Arabidopsis thaliana: one gene and its partner. The protein of the gene in region 1 purifies or fractionates together with the protein of each later gene. This does not show direct contact. Each region holds a gene or a part of one and is shown on either strand. Other genes may lie near its edges.

Region 1 (8,666 bases):
ATTACCAATTCATAGTTCCAGTGCCAACTCTTTAAGATAAATTAAATTGCATATATATATTGCATTATGGACTGAATGTGTGTATATGTAACTATGAAGTATATGAACATGACGATGCCAACTCTTTAAGATAATTTAAATTTGATTGTTCATTGGAATCCAAATTCTTGAAATTTGACAACTTTAATCTTAAATTCATCAAAATAAGATAATTAAACCCGTATTTTTTAAAACTACAAGAAATAATTAAAAAAGAAAGAAAGAAATGTTGATGCATATTTTATTGAACACTAGCACACTAATAAAACGCTCCTGTTTTTATTGTAGCTAGAACTTTGGTTGGATTATGATTTACACTAGATTTGCTTTAAAAAAAAAAGAAATTCAAGACATATTTTTTTATGGATTTAAAGTTTTTTTTTTTGCTAGTTCTCATTGGAGGAATTGGAACATTCTTAGGTAACATTCCTAAAACCAGACGTTGTGATGGTCACCATAAATTCATATTTGCGTTGTGTGCAACCGGTGGTTCTTTGGTACTAGGTCCTGAGGGTGGAACAAACCATCTCCTAACTAGTGGTTCTTTGGTACTAGGACCTGAAGGTGGAACGAACCATCTTGTACCCGGTGATTCTTTGGTACTAGGTCCTGAAGGGGGAACGAGCCATCTTGTGACGCGTATTGGATCAACTGATTTTTTAAGCAAACTTTCGGACTGTCGAAAATCTTCAGATTCATGTAAGAGGCTCTTCTTGTTGGCTTCAAGAACACCAACAAAGAGGAGAACAAACAATGCTATCACAGTAAAAAAATTTGATTTCGTCATTACAAGATACTTTTACAAATTGTTAGAACTATTGACTATGTTTAAGTTTTATAACATTGTCATAAATCTTATCTTATCATCTTAGAACTAAAGAATAAGATTTAATATTTTCTAATATGGAATGTGTTCTAAGTATGGTACACTGAAGATATTTTCCCGAAAATATTCTTTTTAATATATAGTAGATTTGACTGAAAAAATATAGGCAAAAACTATTATTTAAATAAATAATAAGAATACAATTCAACATTTTATACCCCAAACATTTTCAAAATTTATCTTACCATCCAAGTTCATTGAAGCTCAAATTGTAATGATGATATCTTTATTCAAATATATGAATTACTTGTATTTTATTCCTTTTTTTGTTATCCAAAATAAATCTATAAATCTGAAAAACTTGAATTTCACTAACTATGGTTTCATATCGCTTATCTCATTGTGATGATGAGATGATCTATATACAATTCCGTTGGAATCTGTTGGATTCCTGCTCTACCAATTCTTACAGTTGATCACCAATTCTTTATAAGCTACCATTTTGTTTTCAATGTTATGCGATTCTAATGTTTTCAATCTTCCACTATTTTACTACGATTTTGTTTTTCCTTTATTCACCTGACATTTCCAGTCGCAAACAATAAGCCTTAGTGAAACACACTGCACAAAACTGCAGCAAATGTTGCTCTCAAGACAAAAGACATTCCGGGGGAAACAAATAAAAAAACTCAGGAGAGTTATTTAAGATAAGCAAAAAAAGATACATCTTAAACTGATGCCATTTCGTTTTTCAGTTTCATGTAGACACAACCTTCTTCACCACTTTTGTAACCTCTTCCGGGGCCTTCTCTGCCGGTATGTTCACCAGATTCTCCTTCTTCGCATAATAGTCAATTACCTGCAACAACAACAACAAGAACAAATGTCAAATTCTCTGATAGTCCTCAAGTTCATGTACTATAAGGAAACATACCGGTTGCGTCTGCTTGTGGAATGCATCTAGCCTTGATCTAAGAACATCCGCATTGTCATCTTTACGTTGAATCAATGGCTCTCCAGTCAGCTAACAAACAACGAAGTTGATACAGAGATCAAATCACAAGAGAGAACTCGATTTACTAAGTCAAAATGATGAATCAGAATTTGATGGTTTTTCTTACATCATCGACTCCTGGAACTTTAGGAGGTGCGAATTTAGTATGATAGCTTCTTCCACTTGAAGGGTGAATCCACCTTCCAGTAATTCTTTCTTCGAGAACCGAATCATCGATCGCAAAATTAAGCACCTTATCTATCTGAGCTCCCCTTCTATTAAGCATCTCATCAAGCTACAAGATTTATAAACAAAAAAAGTCAGAACATTTACAAGAGCGAGCAGATACACAAACAACTAACCACAGAAAAGAACCAGAAACCTTCTCTGCTTGAGTCACAGTCCGCGGGAACCCATCAAGAATGAAACCTTTCTGACATTTGGGTCTGTTCATTGCTTCATCCATGATACCAACAACCAAGTCATCAGAAACAAGCTCTCCCTTATCCATTGCTTCCTTTGCCTTCACACCAAGAGGAGTCTTAGCAGCAACAGCAGCTCTAAGCATGTCACCAGTAGACAAATGACACAAACAAAACTCATCCTTTATGACCGGAGACTGTGTACCTTTCCCTGAACCAGGTGGACCTGCAAATTCCAAATCATACATGAACCAAAACTCAATTCTTCCTTTCTATTGAACCAAAAAACACAAATTCACAATCCCTTCGCTATGATCATCAGATAAAGCATTAACGATAACAGCAAAATGCAATTTTTACACACTAAAACAGATAAAAATCGGAACTTTCGCTACACAATTTTCACAGAGATCAAACCTAAAGTACCGATTGAGTGAAAGATTCAGAGGTAACGAAAGAGATGATTGTACCGATGAAAACGAGACGTTTGTCAGGTTTAGAGGCACATTTCATACGGCGAAGAAGCTCAGACATGAGATCAACAGTCTGAATATCTTCCATATCAACAGAAGCCGCACTGCTCGTTGCCATGTTCGTCGTCGTCGTCTCTTACAAGAGAATTAGATTTGGTCCGGTGGAGTTGTGTTCTCTTTTTGAAGTGCGTGTATTGGATTCGATGCTTCCAATGTTTTCTTTCACCGTTTTACGATTTTACCCTTAACTGTGCCAACAACTACAAAGGCCTGCCCTTCGAACAACAACAACCTGCCTGGGGTTGGTGACACACCCAACTCTGAAAACGAGTCTTTCTTCTTACACATCTAATATCGCACATTTTTCATAATTACATAAAATCAAATATCATATAATACTTCCAACAAACCATTATGTTTTAGGTCAAGTGAACCAAAAAAAGCGGACTAGAAAACATAGAATAAGTAGAGTCTAACACATTTTTTCGGTTTTAAGGCACGATGGACCGGTCATTTGTCCAATTAACACTAGTGTTAAGAAACTTAATTTGATATTAAGTACTGAGGTTGAAGATTTTGCTAGTTTATGGTAGACTTATGAATATCAGTATACCACTAGACCACATTCACTTTTCGTCAATAAGACAATTAAACTCTTGAAAACCCACATTTTTCTTTTTTTTTTTTGAAAGCCAAACTCCATCAATGTTTGGTTATTAAAGATATGAATGAATACTACATCATTAGTTTCTTTCTTGATAATTTTTGTATATTTATTTATTAATAAGTTTTTGTATTTTTCTAAATTCTTAACATTAATAAAAGAGTTTTCCAAAAAATGCAAAATAATACTATAAAATTCAAAATAGTACATAATATAAGCTTTTTTTTTTCCAACTTTACATATATTGTAAACGTTTTTACGATCACATACATCTGCTTTTTGAAAATTCTAAAAATATAAATAAACTCTTTACCTCAAAAGTTTCAATTTGCTATATACATTTTTTTAAAATCAAATTTAACAATAAAAAATAAAATTAGATTACATATTATTTTAGAATTAAATTAACATAGGCCCACTTCTTATGTTGGGAAAAGGGAACAACAAATATAACAATTTAGCAACAAAGAAGTAGAAAAAAGAGGTGATGTCATAATAAACGGTAAAATAATAGGAACGATGAGCGAGCGGATCTAGCTTTCGTCAAAATCATCATCACTGAGTACATCTGCCACGTCAGCTTGATTGGGATCTATTTGGTCGCCCGTACACAAAATCTCGGCTCACTCACTCACACTACTCAAGTCAACGTTTCTAAGATTCTCCGGCGGAGCGATTATGTCAGGTAAAACTATCGCCGATCTCTTCTTCTTCTTCTGATTCGAATCTCTCGTCCCCATTCCCTGATTTTTTTGATTTACATTTGATAGGATCTTCTTCACCGAGCTTGTGGCTGGCACCGAATCCGAGCAAGAGATGGGGAGAGCTCTTCTTCCTCTTCTACACTCCTTTTTGGCTCACTCTCTGTTTAGGCATCGTTGTTCCTTACAAGCTTTACGAGGTCTATGCGATCATCAAATGAGCATTGTTTTTAAGTGTCTGATGTATTTAGGAGACGATGAGACAGAGTTGAAGTAGCTATTCACTTTTTTTTATCTGCTAAATTAGATCAACAAAGTTTATGAAATGATGTCTCATTGTTTACCATGTCAGTGTTTTAGAGATCTGAAAATTTTACTGTTGTATGAAGTTGTCTTTTAAGTGGTATTGAAGAAGTACTAATAAGTGTTAGTTACTTTGCAAACTAGCAGACATTCACGGAGTTGGAGTATCTGCTTCTAGCTTTGGTTTCAGCTGTTCCTGCTTTCGTTATACCCATGTTACTCGTTGGAAAGGTTACTTTTTGACAACTTTTGCTTTCACTGTGAGCTAACGTGTTCGTGGTGCTATACTTGTTTGTCTACTAGCTACTTGCTTCCAATTGAATGCAAATCTCTATTGTTTTCCTTACCATATGGACTCAGAATATATGCATTATTCTTTCAGGCCGACAGAAGTTTATGTTGGAAGGACCGCTATTGGGTTAAGGCAAGCTTTTTTTCTATGTGCATGACATTTTGGCTTGCCAGTTCTAGTTTCAAACTATTTTTAGAACTTGTTTTAACTTCCTTGAGTACTGGTGAGAGTTCTCAAGATCTCATCCATAGTTGTACTGATTGGAACATGTTTTTACCACAGGCAAATCTCTGGATAATTGTTTTCAGCTATGTCGGAAACTACTTTTGGACTCACTATTTCTTTAAAGTTCTTGGAGCGTCCTATACTTTTCCATCATGGAAAATGAATAATGTAAGCACAGCATTATCTCGGCAGATTTGTTCTATTGAGTAGTTTTCTTGTTTCCATGAGCTTATGGCAGGGGTTTTGTGTTGAACAGGTGCCTCACACAACATTCTTCCTAACACATGTTTGCTTCCTCTTTTACCACGTTGCATCGAACATTACTCTTCGGAGGCTACGCCATTCCACTGCTGATTTACCAGATTCTCTGAAATGGTGTTTTGAGGCTGCATGGATACTTGCGCTTTCTTATTTCATTGCATACTTGGAGACTATTGCTATCGCAAATGTACGTTGTGATGTCTACATTTCTTTGATAATTTCCTATAAAAAGAGCTCTCTACTTGGTGTTTTATCATATATCACAAATTCCTCTTATAGTCTGCTTAAAGACTACGTTTATCTACTTAATCATTCTAGAATCTTGTTTAGAAACTAGTCACTTGACAATAACCGCTCATATGTTCTGTTTTTGTTTTCAAACTTGTGCAGTTTCCTTACTATGAGTTTGTGGACCGAAGTGCCATGTACAGAGTTGGATGTCTTTTCTATGCCATTTACTTCATTGTGAGCTTCCCAATGTTCTTCAGGTAAAGAAAGCATAGTTTTCTATCATCTCATAGAAGCAGTGAATCTTTTCACCTTCATGACTGTTGCATATCAAAACTGAGACAAGTGATAGTTGTTAGATACACCGGATTAATTGATTGAATTTTCTTGAGAGTCTTAAAATATAGGAATTAAAGACTTAAATGGAGAACCAGGTCTTTCTCAAGTGTCTTGAGGAGTTCTTTGAACAGTCTCTGTGATATGCTTCCGTCTCACCTTCTTATTGCTATTTGATTACCTCGAGTTGTTGTCTATCTGTTTTCATATGTTTTATTCATTGTTTGCAGGATGGATGAGAAATCAACTGATGAATGGGATTTATCTCGAGTGGCTGTTGATGCTTTGGGTGCTGCTATGTTGGTAACAATCATTCTTGATCTATGGCGTCTCTTCTTGGGACCTATAGTTCCCTTACCGGAGGGACAAAACTGCCTTCAGTCTGGATTACCATGGTTCTCCAATTGAAGATTGAAAGATCGGTTACTTCCACCAATTCAGGGAATTGACATGGGACTGAGAGAGAAACCTGCAAAGGAATTTCCATTAACACTTTACGGAATTGGGAAGCAGTTAATGCAGGGCATGTTTCTAAGGCTTTTCTTCTCCAACTGCTGATTTGTTTGTTAGTTGTTTTTGGTTTTCAGTTTCTCTTGATGAACTTTCCCAATGTAACCTTTCAAGTTATCCTTTATAGAACAGAATGGAACTTCGTTTTTTGTTGTGGACTCGATATATTGGTTCGTCCTCTTAAGTTCATTAAAACAAGAAAGACCATAACACCATTGAAAGAACCAAAACTTGATATTAAATGGTAAAGTCTCATCACATGAAGTAGCTAAGGGCTTACTTTACTTCTGCAACCTCCCCCGTAGCATTTGTTCCATTGTTGTAGTCACTAACTTATATGGGACGACTGTTGCAGTGCATAACTGCAACCACAATCAGAACACTAATCTCTGGTCCAAGATCAACATTACCTGGTCCTGTGACCATCCATGATTCCTTGAACAAGTACACGTTCTCAGTTCTTTGTCCGTAGACCGGTTAGTAGTGGGAGATAGAACAAGACTGCTCTCCGTTTTTGTAATCTTTGCATCTGAGAATATTAAGGAGATACGACTACTAACCGTAAGAGTTTACTTGTTCATATATGTCATAGTTTTAATGTGGTTTGTAATGAGTCTTTGGAGTGTAAGAGTTTAAAAATGATTTAATATAAGATCTAAGTCTCATTCACATAAGATAACCCTGTTTCAAGATACAACAACAATTCTATTATAGGAGCATCCTTCAACTTTTAAATATAAAAAACATAAAACACTGAATCAGAATCATACTGATACTAACTCAGGTTTATTGTAGTTTCTTGAATAAAATCTGGAAAGAATAACAAAACATTACTGCCACAAGATCAGAAAATGAAACAACCCAAAAATATTTCAAGAGTGTTAAGTTGCCATTATTGTATCATCAAAATAGTACTGCCACTAATGCTTTATACCATCAATTAATGCATGACTGACCTCGTTTCTTCTAACCCAAGTATATGCTATTCACAGAACAAGAAAAATACTTCCCTGAATCCAGACTAAATCACACTAACTCATATATCAACACGAAGGAGAAGAGTATGGACCAAGAAAATTGAGAAATCCAAACTCCGATTAAGCCATTAAGGCAAAAAACCATCCATGCAAAGAGACATATAAATTCATAGGGAGAGAGACAAAAACACGTAGCAATAAAAAAGCAAATGAGTACAAAACAAAACAAAACAAAATAGAAGATTGTGCAATGTAACGCAAGGACTCATGAAGATCATCATACCTTTGCTTTGAGAATCAGGATGGACAACTTCAGACTTGTGTAACCCCTTCTTTTTCGTCAAGATTAATTACTTCTTTTCGAATTCAACGTGAATGTAAAAATCTCTAGAGATCAAATTTTAAAACATCAAGCAGTCTAAACATTAAACAACATCAGCTTAACACAGTTTAAACGCATTAACCACTTTATAAAATGTTGAAACTATTTTTGTAACCCACAATATTATAAAACGCATGTTTCTTGTTTTCTAAAGAAAATCTAAATTTTGAATTGATCAATTTTTTGTCCAAATCTTCTATGATTTCCTTAGGGAGAGCCACAACCTGATTCCAAGCCCAAGAAGAAGGATGCTCCACGTTTTAAAGTTAATCTTGGAAGCGAGCGACAATGCTTGGGATGGAATGTTAAAGGTAGCAGATGCATACTCTGTTATCATAGTCTATGTCAAAGTATGTGGATATGAATAGTTTCCATGGTCGTACTTGTCCAAGAAACTTGGATTTGTATTTTGTAGCTACTCGAACACAAAACTTGAAACCAAGAACATTTTTTTTGGTGCCAATAAAATAACACACTGGTCTAAGTGACATGTATGTTTTTATGAGATTTGCTCTCCAATGTGGCTCAACCTGTGTTTTCTTTGGGTATATACATACTGGATTTTTGGCCGAAGTCTTGGAAACAGATTATATCTGTGATTTGGAAAATGCGGAATCACCCACTATTATAAACTGAAATTTTCTTAACTTATCATTTCTATGCAACAAACACACTTTTACTATCAAATCTAAGTACAGAGATACGTTACAACAAGAAAGTAATATCATCCAGCTCCATATATATAGCAAAGACCATTTGATTCAAGAGCATAATCATTATATAAAACCCATGGTCATAACATGATAAGTATTAAGACATGTACATAAGAATTTTGACAGTGTATAAAAAGGGTGTAAGCCCGACTTTCACATATATAACTTAAACCCCTGACTTATATGTTACCTGGCCACTATCATCTTTCAAACAGACAAGATTGTCCTTCAAGCAAGAGAGTCCTCGTCAATCGTCATCATCTTCTAGCAAGAGCCTTAACTTTTCCTTCTCGGGTGGTGAATAACCAATTGATTTCCTT
Region 2 (9,593 bases), on another chromosome or scaffold:
TTTGAATTGTTTGATCTGAATTAATTTCATCCTCTCTTTCTTCAATTTCAAAGAGGGATAAGAAATAATTGAAAATTTTAATCGATTCCAATTATTTAAGATTAGTATATTTGGGTTCGTTATATAATATTTTCTTAGGGGTTAGCTTTCTTCCATCAAAAAGCTTTTAACTGATTTTATTGGGGTTTATCTGAATTGGATGGTGATGAAATGTTATTAACAGATTTTCTAATTTTTGTCTCTATCGATTTTGTTTCCGTAAATACATCTTTTGTGTATATATTGTCTTGTAGAAAGAAACATTGATTAAGTAGAGAAATAGGATAATCAATCTCTGTACTTAATACATCATCCATTGAAACAAGTTAGGAATCGATCCAATATGAGGCTCTGCAAAAACAATTCAGGAAAAGATTCTGCAAAAACAATTTAGGAGAATGAGTGAAATCGCAGGGGCAATTTCGTCAATTTATTTCCCAAAAACTGCCTATCTTCATAAACTCAATCATAATGTGCTCTTTCTCTAATTTATGGCCCAAAATGTACCCAATATTATAAAAGCCCCCACAATTAAGCACCAAAGAGTTTTGGTACATTAACTTGGGAGGAAACAGAGACACTTGTTAACTGGTAAGGCAACATTTCAAATTCCATATCTTGTTCTCTCAAGTCCAATGCATTTATCCTTGCACGCTTGATTGTTTAAACCATTTAGATTAATGGGTTGGCATTGGTCACGCTGATCCAATGTTTCAAATGGGTAAGTGAATGTTGATTGCCGACGTGACTGAAGACCCAAGGCCCAACGACCTACTGGTCCAGGTTGACTATGAACAAAAGAACTAGATTTTTTTTTCCCCTACATTTTAAAGAAAATACTTGATGAAGATGTGGTGCCTTTTCATAAGATCTAAAAAGTTTCAAATCTTTACGATGGAACAAAAAGTGAAAGGTGAAGTAAGGGTCATTTGGGATTGAGAAGTTTCTTCGTCCAAAATCATTGCATGAGTTGAATAGATTTGGGATTAAAGCTGCCAATACAAGAGGATTCGGTAATGACTGAAGCAAAAGCCCAGCAGGGCCATTAGGCAAACACCAGTTTCCAAGACGGATTTGTGTAAGACCACTTATGACACAAGTTTGTCTTCACTATCATCATCTTCTTCTTCTACTTCTACTACTACTTTTGTAGCCTTGTCGTTTTTATCATTAACATGATTGACAAGACTATGACCTATATATCTTATTATTATCATTGCTCTCTCTATTTGTTTATATTGATTATTACTTTTTGAGATTTTTCAATGGTTTTATCTCTAACTAAACATTATAATTAGTGAAACAAGCTTAGTAGAAGTAAAAGTATTATTCTATGCTAAAGTACATTGATTAGTAGAGTGTGTAATTGTGTATACAGATAATCTATAAACAATTGGTGCATCTGTATATAAAACTTTATGATTTATTTATTGTATTTAATAAGTATATGAATTGGGTACCTAACTTTCTAAACAGTTCCAAATTTATTCTTAAATCAAATTGCATATGATTTTTAAATATTTTGAGACGATTTTATTATAACGCAAACAACAGAGTAAAAGAAGCATATGTTGCAAATTGTACTATGGCAAGTTCAAATCGAAACATTTTTGTGAAAATCAAACATGTGAACCAAGCTTCTACAGTTTAATTCCCTTTCGTATAATTTAATTTCAACAAATTTATTGATATCCATCTAGAAATTGGTCCAAAGTTCTTTCACCCTTGAGTCATTTAGTGATAAAGATGACATGATTTTTGGTGATAAATTTTCCATCGTTGCTATATGTCGTTATATTATTCTCCTATATGTATATTATACTATTTACATCAGAAAATAATCCAAAGTTTAGAGATTCTTTTTTACAATAATAAAATTTCCCACTTACTAAAAAGAGCTCCTTTTCTGCTGAAGAGAACCTAAACCTTTATTCCCAAAGTTCATTGAGTTAGAGCATTTTCAGCGAATCACATAAGAGATGCTCTCTTCTTCATCACTAATTGACATCTCATTGTTTTAAAGGTTGCACTTGTACCTGTTGATCTGATTCTCAATCCACTTAAGTTAAACCAAATAGACACGAGAAAAAAGCACATTTATTTGTTGCTAAGTATGCATATTTTTCAGCGTTTACTTCTTAATCTAATGTATATCATAAGATAATATCTAAAAGAGAATGCACAAAAGATTATTAATATGAGAAATTCGCTGCCATTTAGGAAGGACCTTTATACCAATATACCGCAATAATAATAGAACATTGGTCCCCAAGTGTATGTCAACCCCAAGTGTATAGATTTCTTTAAAGATTAAAATCCCTTTTTGTTGCTAAAGCACCTGATATATTTTTCTATCAAACTAAAAAAATTGTTAGCGGGATGAAGATATATTCGCCAAGAACCATAGTGCTTGTATAACGGCAGACCATTAATTCACAACTATTATTATTTTATTGTTAGATTGTTGATAGAATCGATTTTGATTGTGGCAGAATCGATCTTGTAAAAACTGCTTTAAGGTGCTTACTTATAATTAAGAAAGATTCACTTATGTAAGTTAAGCATATTAATCATATCATTCGGCCTAATTCATTAGGAATATTTTGCTATTCGTTTTGCCATCATTAACAACAAAATTGACACGTTTTCAGCCAAAAGTATTAACAACTAAACCTAAAACTTCAAACATTAAATAGTTTTTAGTATCTTTAGTTTCAAACTAGTGATTTGTCCTAATATCAACACTACGAACGAATTTATATACATTGAACTTTTTTCTGAATCACCGATTACAAAACGAATATAATTTGGTATCGGCAGTTGCTATTAATTTGATCGGTTTGGACTTTGGACTAATCACGATCAAATCTTAAATGGACCGAAGTGAATAAATCCCTAATGTTTTCAAGAGAGTCACACGAACGAAACAAAGGTAAAATATGAACATAGAGCGTGGGGACCTTGAAGCAGAAGGTCTGTATGGTGACAGACCGGTGAGTGGAGTGTATGAATGAACGAGAAGTGAGAAGACAAAATACAAGAAAGAGCGTTGACTTGGAAGTTAAAGCCAAAAAAACCACAAGGGGCAAATTTGTCTCTTTAGGAAAAGGACACAGACAGACTTTCTATACGGGCCAATTAGAAAAATAGGCCCTACTTCTAATTAAAGCCCATTTACTTCTCTCCTTGTCTTCTTATTCCTCTTTTCTCCCCATCACGTGACGACGATGCTATAAACGCCGTCGGATTATATAACTGGTGCCGTTGACAAGACGGCGACAGAAGAAAGAAAGAAGAAACCACAGGCTCTAGGGAACGTAACGTTATGTCCTGTCTATAGCATTTATAACGGTCAGATCAACGCCGTTTAGATAAAGATCTGTCAATGTTAAAGAAGAGATGCATCTCTACACCGTTAAATTTAAAACGCCGTGAACCTCTTATCTATTGATTTTTGTTTGATGAAGCCAAAACAAATCGTGTCAGAAGACTTATCAGAGAAGAAGAAAACGACGACGTTCCCGTTTCTCCATGTCTAATAAGTGTAGTAGTGGCGGCTACTAAAAACTCTAAAGTTTGACTCCAGTAAAACTGCCTTTCTAGTGTAATTCCAGTGATTTTAGAGTTTGAATAGTGTGTGACCAAATTTGAAAGTACAATCTCAGCAATATTATTGATCACTCGTTATAAAAGAATCGAATGTAAAAATAGCCAATGAGAGACTGAGACGTATGTGTTTGACCATAAGTCGTATAGTTTGTATCTATCTACCTGCAAGATCAGCAGATGGTTCTCTGATCAATTGTACCTTAATTATCTTTTATTTTCGTAAAATTTCTCTATTCACAAATGATAAATCTACTTAAGACAGTAACCATAACAAGATTTACAAGATAATTTGAAAAATGAACACATAAAAGTATTTTGGCGCATTATTTTTAATAATAACAATATTTATGTAAAGTCACATAAAAGTATATATTCGCTCACAAAGTCTTACGGTATTTAGAACAGTAGTACCACATCGATTCTCTTCATCTTCTTCTTCATAATATGCCATTGTTCATGTCTCTGTGTCCTATCGCATAACACTCACGCTATCTTATTATTTTCTCTCGCTCTTTCTCACTGAGAGGACACTAAAAAAATGGCGATGAGACTTTTGAAGACTCATCTTCTGTTTCTGCATCTGTATCTATTTTTCTCACCATGTTTCGCTTACACTGACATGGAAGTTCTTCTCAATCTCAAATCCTCCATGATTGGTCCTAAAGGACACGGTCTCCACGACTGGATTCACTCATCTTCTCCGGATGCTCACTGTTCTTTCTCCGGCGTCTCATGTGACGACGATGCTCGTGTTATCTCTCTCAACGTCTCCTTCACTCCTTTGTTTGGTACAATCTCACCAGAGATTGGGATGTTGACTCATTTGGTGAATCTAACTTTAGCTGCCAACAACTTCACCGGTGAATTACCATTGGAGATGAAGAGTCTAACTTCTCTCAAGGTTTTGAATATCTCCAACAATGGTAACCTTACTGGAACATTCCCTGGAGAGATTTTAAAAGCTATGGTTGATCTTGAAGTTCTTGACACTTATAACAACAATTTCAACGGTAAGTTACCACCGGAGATGTCAGAGCTTAAGAAGCTTAAATACCTCTCTTTCGGTGGAAATTTCTTCAGCGGAGAGATTCCAGAGAGTTATGGAGATATTCAAAGCTTAGAGTATCTTGGTCTCAACGGAGCTGGACTCTCCGGTAAATCTCCGGCGTTTCTTTCCCGCCTCAAGAACTTAAGAGAAATGTATATTGGCTACTACAACAGCTACACCGGTGGTGTTCCACCGGAGTTCGGTGGTTTAACAAAGCTTGAGATCCTCGACATGGCGAGCTGTACACTCACCGGAGAGATTCCGACGAGTTTAAGTAACCTGAAACATCTACATACTCTGTTTCTTCACATCAACAACTTAACCGGTCATATACCACCGGAGCTTTCCGGTTTAGTCAGCTTGAAATCTCTCGATTTATCAATCAATCAGTTAACCGGAGAAATCCCTCAAAGCTTCATCAATCTCGGAAACATTACTCTAATCAATCTCTTCAGAAACAATCTCTACGGACAAATACCAGAGGCCATCGGAGAATTACCAAAACTCGAAGTCTTCGAAGTATGGGAGAACAATTTCACGTTACAATTACCGGCGAATCTTGGCCGGAACGGGAATCTAATAAAGCTTGATGTCTCTGATAATCATCTCACCGGACTTATCCCCAAGGACTTATGCAGAGGTGAGAAATTAGAGATGTTAATTCTCTCTAACAACTTCTTCTTTGGTCCAATTCCAGAAGAGCTTGGTAAATGCAAATCCTTAACCAAAATCAGAATCGTTAAGAATCTTCTCAACGGCACTGTTCCGGCGGGGCTTTTCAATCTACCGTTAGTTACGATTATCGAACTCACTGATAATTTCTTCTCCGGTGAACTTCCGGTAACGATGTCCGGCGATGTTCTCGATCAGATTTACCTCTCTAACAACTGGTTTTCCGGCGAGATTCCACCTGCGATTGGTAATTTCCCCAATCTACAGACTCTATTCTTAGATCGGAACCGATTTCGCGGCAACATTCCGAGAGAAATCTTCGAATTGAAGCATTTATCGAGGATCAACACAAGTGCGAACAACATCACCGGCGGTATTCCAGATTCAATCTCTCGCTGCTCAACTTTAATCTCCGTCGATCTCAGCCGTAACCGAATCAACGGAGAAATCCCTAAAGGGATCAACAACGTGAAAAACTTAGGAACTCTAAATATCTCCGGTAATCAATTAACCGGTTCAATCCCTACCGGAATCGGAAACATGACGAGTTTAACAACTCTCGATCTCTCTTTCAACGATCTCTCCGGTAGAGTACCACTCGGTGGTCAATTCTTGGTGTTCAACGAAACTTCCTTCGCCGGAAACACTTACCTCTGTCTCCCTCACCGTGTCTCTTGTCCAACACGGCCAGGACAAACCTCCGATCACAATCACACGGCGTTGTTCTCACCGTCAAGGATCGTAATCACGGTTATCGCAGCGATCACCGGTTTGATCCTAATCAGTGTAGCGATTCGTCAGATGAATAAGAAGAAGAACCAGAAATCTCTCGCCTGGAAACTAACCGCCTTCCAGAAACTAGATTTCAAATCTGAAGACGTTCTCGAGTGTCTTAAAGAAGAGAACATAATCGGTAAAGGCGGAGCTGGAATTGTCTACCGTGGATCAATGCCAAACAACGTAGACGTCGCGATTAAACGACTCGTTGGCCGTGGGACCGGGAGGAGCGATCATGGATTCACGGCGGAGATTCAAACTTTGGGGAGAATCCGCCACCGTCACATAGTGAGACTTCTTGGTTACGTAGCGAACAAGGATACGAATCTCCTTCTTTATGAGTACATGCCTAATGGAAGCCTTGGAGAGCTTTTGCATGGATCTAAAGGTGGTCATCTTCAATGGGAGACGAGACATAGAGTAGCCGTGGAAGCTGCAAAGGGCTTGTGTTATCTTCACCATGATTGTTCACCATTGATCTTGCATAGAGATGTTAAGTCCAATAACATTCTTTTGGACTCTGATTTTGAAGCCCATGTTGCTGATTTTGGGCTTGCTAAGTTCTTAGTTGATGGTGCTGCTTCTGAGTGTATGTCTTCAATTGCTGGCTCTTATGGATACATCGCCCCAGGTTAGTTACATGTCAACAACATTAGTACTCACCAAAATGATATATGTTCTGATTATCATTTTGTTTTTGGTTTGCATAGAGTATGCATATACCTTGAAAGTGGACGAGAAGAGTGATGTGTATAGTTTCGGAGTGGTTTTGTTGGAGTTAATAGCTGGGAAGAAACCTGTTGGTGAATTTGGAGAAGGAGTGGATATAGTTAGGTGGGTGAGGAACACGGAAGAGGAGATAACTCAGCCATCGGATGCTGCTATTGTTGTTGCGATTGTTGACCCGAGGTTGACTGGTTACCCGTTGACAAGTGTGATTCATGTGTTCAAGATCGCAATGATGTGTGTGGAGGAAGAAGCCGCGGCAAGGCCTACGATGAGGGAAGTTGTGCACATGCTCACTAACCCTCCTAAATCCGTGGCGAACTTGATCGCGTTCTGACCCAAGCAAGATAAATATGAAAATAAGATGCGAAATGTGGTGATCATTTTTTGGGTGTTCTTATTTATGGTTTCTAATACTTTCGGGTTTGTATATTTGTTGTGTTTCAATTTGTATATTACCTCTTTATGTGTTATTATCTCGAGTATGTAATGTAATCAATATGCTTATTGCTTGATGGCTTTAAACTTTAGCTAATTCTCCGTTCAGAGTGTATAAAATAAAAGAATGTGAGAGCTTTGACCTCTGGATTTAAGTCTAGACTGTTTAGAATATGTGAATTAGGGTCATATCTAAATTCAGGTTTGTGTTAGCTTCCGACAGTGTCATGTTGCAATCTTGACCTTACTTACAAAGTATTTACCAGCAGATGGCTCGGAAAATAAAAAGGAAACACATCTGATAAAAAAAAACACGGAATCAACAGACTAATGGTTGATTAAGAGATTGGACTCGTACTCTGCATTTGGAATAATGACCAGTTTCATTGAGTTCTTGGGGGTCATTCACTTCTCATATTTTTACGAGCTAAGAAAATCACCTCAGGGTCATAACATTGTAGTTTCTGCTCTTGAAGCAAAACACACATAAACTAAGAAACCGGAAAAATTCACAGAAATCAACAACCAAGAAGCTTTAAAAGTTCATGAACAACAGAATTCAACCTCTATAATGTGCATTTTCCCACAAGATGAGGATGATGCTGTGAAGCTAATTCTATCCATAACTCTTACCTCCATTCATAGAGCAATTCAGAGAAGAAGACAAGGCACATAGTCACAACTTATAAACGGGTGTGAGAAGAAGACAAGGCAAATTAGTCACAAATTCATTAAGGTAGAGAAACAAGATCCTTCATTACTCTGTTTTAGTCTCTTCATTAAGAATCATATACAATTTAAATCACAAAACTTTCAAGGCCACAATCTTGATTAACTTGGAAAGACCTGAGTTTCATTCAGATTTAAACAACACTGCAGCTCTCAAAATTCAAAATCGATTGTATAAAGAAAACAAGAACATCTATCATCATCATAATCACTATCCGATTTTACAACATATCAATACAAACAAAAACCTCCCAGCTTACACGAAGAAGAACATCATTACCTTATTCCTTAACTCCGAACACATGTTATTTAGATTACTCTGTTTTAGTCTCTTCATTAAGAATCCCCCAAAATTCTCAATGCCACAATCCTCATTCAGTGGTAAGACTCGAGTATCAACATTCAAATTTGGATAACAGTGCAGCTCTTAAATTCAAAATCCATTTTTACTTTTAAAAACAAGAACATCATATCTATAATCATCACAATCACTATCCGATTTTACAACATATCAATACAAACAAAAACCTTCCAACTTACAAGAAGAAGAACACCATTACCTTATTCCTCATCATCATCTATTACACAGAAAATCTATGAGAAACGTATATATCTAACACATGTTATCTACTTCACAAAAGTCAAAATAAAGAGGGAAAATTCGAAGTTTATATACTCAGAAAGCACCGTAAGGTATATGTTGTGGAAGCCTAAATCGAACCTGTGAAGCCGGAGACCGAACCGCAACGCCGTGCCAGCAAATCCCTCCTTTACAAATCGCACCACCGTCGTGATGGTGACGGTGGTGGCTAAGATCTTCCTCACCACCAACACGATTGTACCGAGAAACCGCCTCCGCTGCTCTACGAGACACATCCCAAGCAAGCGTAACTGCAAGCAAAACACCAACTGCCGTAATCGAAACGACGACGACGAATCCAGCGCTGAAACTCCTCCCGGTGATTAATCCGTAGGCTTTAATCGCGATAATCACCGCCACGTAGATCGTCGCGAGATTCCCGAGAACCGCGTCGGATAACGCCATGAGACACATCTAGGACTTTACTTCTTCTTCACCGTCGCCGTGAAATTCGTTGCGGTGGAGGAAGCTTTTTAACAGAAAAAGTGGAGAAAAGCGAAATTGTGGTGGATGTTGAAATACTCAAAAAGACGTCATCCTTGTCAACGAAGGGAAGGATATTTTGAAATTACTAAAACACCCTTGACAAGATCTTTTGCTTCCTCTCTATGGCTCATCACTAATGCGAGAAGAGTTTGGTAAAAGTACCCTTCCCGTAAAACGTCACCGTTTCGGGATTTGGTCAGACTTGCCACGCACTACATTTATGGGTGTATGACATTCTCACGCATGTCGTTGTCAAGGTCCTCAAAGTCCTCAAGAGGCTCTATTTATGTCTGTGGTCAAAATTTGATCGTCGTACTCAAAAATAAATGCTCTTTGGACTTAGTAATTGTTTCTAACGGGCCTCTAAAATCAGTAATGGGCTCCAGTATTAGACCCATCTTGGTATTAACTATTAAGAGTTCTTCTAAT

The links.
Region 2: the proteins of CPI1 (region 1) and CLV1 purify together in Arabidopsis thaliana (affinity purification with western blotting; one study listed by BioGRID). This does not show direct contact.

What each region holds. Positions count from the first base shown.
Region 1 is NC_003076.8:20,507,760-20,516,425, forward strand, and holds CPI1 (cyclopropyl isomerase), read left to right. Parts: upstream 1-3,907; 5' UTR 3,908-4,096; coding exon 4,097-4,103; intron 4,104-4,188; coding exon 4,189-4,319; exon of another isoform or gene 4,320-4,569; coding exon 4,570-4,653; intron 4,654-4,804; coding exon 4,805-4,846; intron 4,847-4,996; coding exon 4,997-5,107; intron 5,108-5,195; coding exon 5,196-5,387; intron 5,388-5,590; coding exon 5,591-5,688; intron 5,689-5,994; coding exon 5,995-6,067; coding exon of another isoform or gene 6,068-6,172; exon of another isoform or gene 6,173-6,205; coding exon 6,206-6,322; 3' UTR 6,323-6,490; downstream 6,491-8,666. Other genes in the region: AT5G50365 (uncharacterized protein), read left to right, coding at 402-803, 1,012-1,017; AT5G50370 (Adenylate kinase family protein), read right to left, coding at 1,623-1,724, 1,800-1,889, 1,987-2,154, 2,242-2,507, 2,752-2,872; EXO70F1 (exocyst subunit exo70 family protein F1), read right to left, coding at 8,623-8,666. UniProt on the Arabidopsis thaliana protein: Converts pentacyclic cyclopropyl sterols to tetracyclic sterols.
Region 2 is NC_003070.9:28,461,246-28,470,838, reverse strand, and holds CLV1 (Leucine-rich receptor-like protein kinase family protein), read left to right. Parts: upstream 1-3,867; 5' UTR 3,868-4,186; coding exon 4,187-6,776; intron 6,777-6,855; coding exon 6,856-7,208; 3' UTR 7,209-7,495; downstream 7,496-9,593. Other genes in the region: AT1G75810 (uncharacterized protein), read right to left, coding at 8,715-9,092.